2 linked regions of the Mus musculus genome follow. The protein of the gene in region 1 purifies or fractionates together with the protein of each later gene. This does not show direct contact. Links are inferred from orthologs where the notes say so. Each region holds a gene or a part of one and is shown in the gene's direction. Other genes may lie near its edges.

The links. Proteins that work in one complex are often made in the same cells at the same time.
Region 2: the proteins of Prkag3 (region 1) and Pfdn6 purify together in Homo sapiens (affinity purification with mass spectrometry; 3 studies listed by BioGRID and IntAct, with this or other methods). This does not show direct contact. The link is inferred for Mus musculus from reciprocal best matches to the Homo sapiens genes PRKAG3 and PFDN6.

The regions. Positions count from the first base shown.
Region 1 is NC_000067.6:74,746,141-74,749,809, reverse strand, and holds the start of Prkag3 (5'-AMP-activated protein kinase subunit gamma-3), read left to right. Parts: upstream 1-854; 5' UTR 855-959; coding exon 960-992; intron 993-1,298; coding exon 1,299-1,338; intron 1,339-1,785; coding exon 1,786-1,938; intron 1,939-2,251; coding exon 2,252-2,658; intron 2,659-3,669. UniProt on the Homo sapiens protein: AMP/ATP-binding subunit of AMP-activated protein kinase (AMPK), an energy sensor protein kinase that plays a key role in regulating cellular energy metabolism.
Region 2 is NC_000083.6:33,938,294-33,941,753, reverse strand, and holds Pfdn6 (prefoldin subunit 6), read left to right. Parts: upstream 1-1,410; 5' UTR 1,411-1,666; coding exon 1,667-1,730; intron 1,731-1,935; coding exon 1,936-2,006; intron 2,007-2,090; coding exon 2,091-2,215; intron 2,216-2,642; coding exon 2,643-2,766; 3' UTR 2,767-2,845; downstream 2,846-3,460. Other genes in the region: Wdr46 (WD repeat-containing protein 46), read right to left, coding at 34-121, 236-348, 482-562, 663-869, 995-1,105. UniProt on the Homo sapiens protein: Binds specifically to cytosolic chaperonin (c-CPN) and transfers target proteins to it. Binds to nascent polypeptide chain and promotes folding in an environment in which there are many competing pathways for nonnative proteins.

The DNA.
Region 1 (3,669 bases):
CTGTGTCTCAGAAGTTCCACTATCTGGCGACAGATCTGGTCCCAGGGACACTCATGAAAAGCAAAAGCCCCCCCCCCCCACACAGTTCTTCTCCACCCTCCTCGGAGGCCATTGCAGGTGCTTTGAAGCAGAAAAGAAAATATGTTCACTAAATCCAGCAGGAAACCCAATAGTCCATTCCTGAGTGTCCACTCAGAGGGTCGCGATGGAAGAGACTGGAATGACAAGAGGGAGGGAGGGACAGGGAGAGGAAAGCCAGAGCAGCTGGCTCAGCATTCCCCATTTGGACTCTGACTCAGGCCCTAGGAATGCCAAGGAAGGGGGTGAGGCGCATAGAAGCCAGGCTGGGTTCCCCTCTGGCACAGAGAGATGCAGAGTCAGTACTCATGGTGGGTTAGGGACTGGACTCCCGCACATCCATTCATCCCGCAGGCACAGGTCGGTTCAGGTACTGCTCCCTCTGCACGCAGGTGTGAAGCCCACTCCCTCTGCCCCATCTCTCACCTTTGGGATGACCAGCAGAGTGCCCACCGGTCTGATTCTCCTTCTCCATCTTTCATCTTTCACCTAAGAAGGGAATAGGGTGGCAGGACCCAAAATGGGATGTCTTGACATACTCTGCTCCTCTCTCGGGATCACTCACAACCCCCTTACCCTTCTCTATCCTCGAGTGTATCCTTTCTAACTCATCCCACCTAGGCTAGGGAAGTTTGCATGGAGGAGAAAGTGAAGGAAGCCAACTTTTCTCCTTAAAACTTTCAGTTCGAAGATGAGAGTTCCGCCTCCGCAGCGCCCCCAAGCTGCAGTGCGGGAACAGCTGCGGGTTAAGCGCTCCCTCCCAAGACCTGACAATCAGAGAGAACCCGATCTCTCAAGGGCCTGCCGCCAGGGACCAGCCCAGAATAGTGCCACCCTGCCGCCGCCTGTCGCGCACTTGCTAACGGACTAGAGCTGGCCGCATGGAGCCCGAGCTGGAGCACACATTGCCTGGGGTACCGGGGTCCCAGGGGGCCGGCGCTGGGACAGAGAAGGACAGCAAGCGCGTGGCTGTGTGTGGGCGCCCGTGTGTAGCCCGCGTGCTTGCTGTGCACTGTACTCTGAGTGTGTGAACTGGTCGGTGCTGTGTATGTATGTATTTTGCGTGTACGTGCCTGTGTGAGGTTCCAGGTGTACCAGGGGTGTGCAAGTTGTGCCTATCTGTATACATGTGGTGTTTGGGGTGGGTGTGCTTTTTAAAGGGGACAACCCAGAGACTTGAGAACGGATAGCATTTTCACTTCAGACATTCTCTCCCAAAGACCCTGACCTGGAGCCACAGTGGGGGTCCAGAGAGTCAAGGTGGGTGGAGTATCGCTCCCTGTGGGTCTAGCCTTTTCTCTTTAGCTCCCTTGTCCTCCGTCTTTTTGAACCCCAGTCCTTAACCCCTAGCTTGGCTTTTTTCAGGAGAAATTCTTTCTCCTCTCAGCTTTCTCCCTCTTCTTTTTCCCAATGTGTCCCCCACCTCCCCTTTCCTCTTTGCTGAAGATCTGAACCCCACCTTACCACTTTCCAGCTGTGAAATTTGTGGTAAATTGCTTAACCTCTCAGAGTTTCCGGTCCCTCGAGGCTAAATAGGAATGCTATTCCCATTTACAATACGTATCTTGGAAAATTCCAATGAATAGAAAACAAGAAATATTTGGGGAGGGGGGCTTTGAAAGCTTCCAAGAGGCTCAGTAATGACATGGGACTTGGTTTTGTTGTATCATTTCCTACTAGTCAAAGAGATTCCTTTCCTCCTTCCAGAGATGGACTTCTTAGAACAAGGAGAAAACTCATGGCCCTCACCAGCTGTGGCCACCAGCTCAGAAAGAACCTGTGCCATACGGGGAGTCAAGGCTTCCAGATGGACGAGACAGGAGGCCGTAGAGGAAGCAGAACCACCAGGTTTGGGAGAAGGTGAGGCCAAGGTCAGTTATGGTGACAGGGTCAGCAGGAATTCCAGAGCAGAGCTTGACCTCGGGCCTCTCCATCACACGGACTTAAACACAGTCTCACCTTGTGGCCTCTGCCTCCCTAAACGAGAGGCAATAACTATGTGATGACCCAGGGTCCCAGTGCAGCCACCTTGGGATGGAACAGAGTTGCTGTCAGCTAGGACTCTGAGACTCTTTACCATCCCGGTGCCCCCTGTGCTGCCAAACCCTGAAAGCCCAGATAGCATGCTTTGGAAGATGAAGTTACTGTCGTCCCTGCCTTCTTCCCCCAACAGGTGCCCAGTCCAGACCAGCTGCTGAGTCCACCAGGCAGGAGGCCACATTCCCGAAGGCCACACCCTTGGCTCAAGCTGTTCCCTTGGCTGAAGCGGAGACCTCCCCCACAGGGTGGGACCTGCTCTTGCCCGACTGTGCAGCCTCAGCAGGGGGCTCCAGCACAGGTGACCTGGAGCTGACCATAGAGTTCCCAGCCCCAGAGGCCTGGGACTGTGAGCTGGAAGGCCTGGGGAAGGACAGGCCTCGTCCTGGTCCATCCCCACAGGCCCCACTTCTCGGCCTGAGTTGGGATGACGAACTTCAGAAGCCCGGAGCCCAGGTCTACATGCACTTCATGCAGGAACACACCTGTTATGATGCCATGGCTACCAGCTCCAAATTGGTCATCTTTGACACCACGTTGGAGGTAAGATCCCGGCTTGACCCTACCTGATCACGTGGCTCTGCCTCCTGCCTCTGTCGCTACCACCCATACTCTCCTGGATGCCTTGTCAGGTTGTCTGAAAGTCCCTTTCTAGGACTCCTTCTTAGCATCATACACACAGTACTAAGAGAGCATGCTGTGTGGGGATCCCCTAATTGCCATCACATCTCTGTCACCATGAACCTGCTAAACCCGGGGTTGGCCACTTTATCCCCTTCATCTCCAAAATGGGGATCAGAAGCTTGCTCCCCTTGTTTCAAAGGAGTCTTGGGACAACCCAGGACAAAGTAAGAATACTGTTAACCCTATAAGACATTGCAGAGTTGCTGAGGAGCAAGAGGAGGGTGCTAGCTATGGTAACTACTCTTAGGCTAGACTAGACTGATTCCATCCTTAGCATTGTTATTGCAGAGCAGATGATGTTCAAGGCATGGTGCATACATATGTCATCCACAGACAATCTGGCTCTGGTGTTTAACCAAGAAATATATTATTGCAATAGCTTTGCTTAAATCTTGATGTATGTCAAAGACTTGAATACAGTGGTACATATCTGTAATACCAGCACTGAGGGGTCTGAGGCAGGAGGGTCTCGAGTTCCAGGCCAGCCTCCAAACCAAGCAAGCAACAACAACAACATACATACATACATACATACGCACACAAATAAAAGCAAAACAACACACTACCAGCAACAGAAAGTAAAGGCAGAAGAGAAGAGGAAAGAGTTGGGGAAAGGGGAGAAGAGATGGGAAGGAAGGAAAGAAAAGATAAAAACCAAATACAGCTAGCACATATGGGCAGTGTTACTTAGGGTACGGGTCAAAATAAGTCAGTCTCAAATTTAGTGAAGAAACTGATGCAGCTATGCAACCATTGAGTGAGTAAGTATTACCTCTAGTAGTTAGATAAGCAAAACTACACCACGTCTGTATGCACATGGCCTCCTTGTGGAAACTGCTGTGTCAAATAATGGGCCCTCAGTCCCTCTGG
Region 2 (3,460 bases), on another chromosome or scaffold:
AGTCTCCAGGCTCCTCTCCCAGCCTGGGCTCACCTTGGCAGCACTGGCGATGTCCACAGCCTCCACGATGTCTGTCTGCAGGATTTTTGCCGTGTCTTCCCCATCTTCTCCTACCAGAAACCTAAAAGGCAGTTAGGATGACGACGGTGACGGTCCCCACCATGCAGCGGGCATACAAACATAAAAACGCAGAGAGACAGGACAGCGGGGAAAGCCCAGGTCGGGGTCCACTCACCCAGGTTCCTCTGCAAGCAGCAGCTCAGCGCGGGCGGCTCTGACGCTTGCCTCTTCCTCTTGCGCTTCAGCCTTCTCGAGTTTGCTTTGAGTTTTAGGCTTCGAATGTGGGAGCTACGGCATTGTTGACAGGGTTGCAAGAACCGAAGAGCATATGTGGGGGTCCCAGGAAAACCACTGGGGAAGCCGCCACCACCTCATCCAAACCCTCGGCCTCCAATCCCTCTGACAGCCCGCCGGTCCTCACCGTTTTGGACTTGTCAATTCGACAAAACTTCCGGGCCTCCTCCAGGGGGGCGGGGACGGGTCCTGGGAACGGGTCCTGAGCCTGGCGAGGACAAGGAGGCAGGAGGCAGATTCTGATGGATCCGGTTCCTCTCGATCTCCGGGGACGACCTGCACCGCCACCCTGTCAACCCCAGGCTCACCCCCGACAGCGTCCTCTGAGGCTTCTTCCAGTCTGGAGCGGTCTTTGAGATCGGGGGCTTCTTGGAGAACCGGGACTTCTGGGCGATGTGCGCGCTCTTGGACCTCGGGGGTCGCGACTCCCCAGTCCTCGCCTTCTTCCGAGGCGGCCCCGGGGAGGTGGCGACGGCGGCCGGGGTGGTCTCCTCCTCCCAGTAGCGCCGCGGTTTCTAAGGGGCAGAGGAAAAGCCTTCGCACACGCTGCCCGAGCCTGGGCCCGGGACGCGGACACCTCCCACCAAAGCTACCTTCCTCTTGGCCTGAGGCTTGTCTCTCTTGGGTGGGACACCCCTACCCGGCTTGGGGGCTGTCTCCATCTCCAAGACCGAACAACGATCCACGTGCGAAACTCCCTTGAGTAGTAGCTCGGCGGTCTAGGAAAACTTCCGGAAGTCCCCCCCTTCATCCAATCAGCGCCGTACCGGCGTCTGAAGCCTCCGGCGCCATGTTAAGTGAGGGCATGCCTCTGTGAGCCCGGGAGGATCGCCCGAGGAGCAGCTTATAACCAAATAAAGATTTAAAAAGCATGTATGAGCCCCGAATCTTGTTAACTATGAGCTTAGATTTTTCCATATTAACTTTTCTGTCTTGCCCAAAACCTCTCGAGCCGAGTCTTTTAGGTCGAACGAGCCTCACACAAGTCAGAACTACATGTTCCAGCATGTATCGGAATGTAACTTCCGGCGCCGTCTTTTTCTCTCCCGTCATGCCTTGTTTACTTCCGGGTTTATTGATTACAGCGGGTAGAGCGTGAAGAGGTTAGCGTTTGGCTTGGAGGGTTCGGGGATCTCTTCTTTCGCTCTCCTTTGCCTAGGGAGTGGCTATTCTGGACGAAAAGAGGCTGCGGCGCCTCGGAGAGTTGCGGGTAGAAAGTGCTGTCCTTCTGCAGGGTCAGGGAGGGGGGATTCAGGTGCCTCCCAGAGCTTGAGACCCAGCGACCCCCGCCCAGGAGGCTTTCTCCTTCACCATGGCTGAACTGATCCAAAAGAAGCTGCAGGGAGAGGTAGAGAAATATCAACAGCTGCAGAAGGGTAAGAGAGGGAGTTGGTGTGGTCTCGCTCCTGTCCGCTCTCATCTATGATGAAGCGTCGCGCCCCATTGGGGGCTGCGGGGGTGCATCTTGTTACCCCTCGCCTCGGTATCGTCGCTTTCTTCCTCACACCCAGTCTCCCCAGAATTGCGCGGTTCTGGGCCCATTTGATGTTTTTAATCGTGCATTTCCTCTCTCCACCCCAGACTTGAGTAAATCTATGTCAGGGAGGCAGAAGCTCGAAGCACAGCTAACGGAAAACAATATCGTGAAGGAGGTGAGGATGGGACGCGGGGGTGGGGGGCGAGGAGGGACTCTCCTGGGCACGATCATCTCATTCACTGCCTCATCCCCTTCTCAGGAGCTGGCCCTGCTGGATGGATCCAACGTGGTCTTTAAGCTTCTGGGACCCGTGCTTGTCAAACAGGAGCTGGGGGAGGCTCGGGCCACAGTAGGGAAGAGGCTAGACTACATCACAGCAGAAATGTAAGTCCTGCGGATGGCGTTTTCAGTGCACAAGTGTTAAACCCGTGCTGGATAGTTCTCCACTTACCCATTTCTGTAAAGTCCTGGCTGCCCTGGAACTCGCTCTGTAGACGGGGCTGACCTGACACAGATGCGCCTGCTGCCGCCTCCTAAAGGATGGGATTAAAGGCATGTGGCACCACTCCTGGCCTTTCTTGCTGTGTGACATCTGGTGAGGGCACTTGTCAAAGGACAACCTGCGGGAATGTTTGCCTCCCTACTGTGGGGTTCTGTAGCTTGAATTCAGGTGCCAGCCTTGGAGGACAGCAGCCCTCTCTTCCCCTTAGTGCCATCCCCGCTTTCTGTCCCACAAACCTCCAGTCTTCCACCATATCATTGAGCCCTGGCTGATATCTCCTCTCCGTTTGCCTCCCTTTGCCCTCCTCAGCAAGCGCTACGAATCACAGCTTCGGGACCTCGAGCGGCAGTCAGAGCAACAGAGGGAAACCCTTGCTCAACTGCAGCAGGAGTTTCAGCGGGCCCAAGCTGCAAAGGCTCCTGGGAAAGCCTGACCCCGTGGGAGGGGGTCAGGAGGGAGGGATGAGGCTAACCCTGAGCCAATAAAATGTAAACAGAACCAAGCCTACTTTACAGCCAGTCTTTCTTCACTGTACTTCCATTCCCGTACACTTTTACACCTCTTGAGATTCACGGTCTTGTGACTGAAATCTCTCAGTGGCCGGATTCTGTTTTGCTTTCCTGTGGCTGAGAACTGTGCCCAGGGTGTTTCCTTGGGTCCCTTCAGTTTCAAAACTTTAGTCTGAAACGTCTCAAGCTATTTCTTGCCTGTACATACAACCCTTTGACTTCCCTACGTTGGTTGGCGTAACCGGGAGACACGGGAGAAGACACTGTCTACAGTGCAGCATGTTGTTCGTTGCCATAGAACTCAGTTCTCTGGCCTGAGAGCCCAGGAAATGACAGTCACTCACGGTGAGCACTTGTCTCCCCAAGCAGCCCTAGCCCTAGACTGTTACCTGATTTCCCCGTCTATCTTCTCAGGGTTGGTTTGAATGTAACTTTTTTTGGTTTTGGAGACAGGGTTTCCCTGTGTAGTCCTGGAACTCACTCTGTAGTGAGGCTGGCCTCGAACTCAGAAATCCGCCTGCCTCTGCCTCCCGAGTGCTGGGTTTAAAGGCGTGCGCCACCACACTGGTCAGTGAATGTAACTTTTAACTAATCTTGAAATTCCTTCCAGATTCGTAT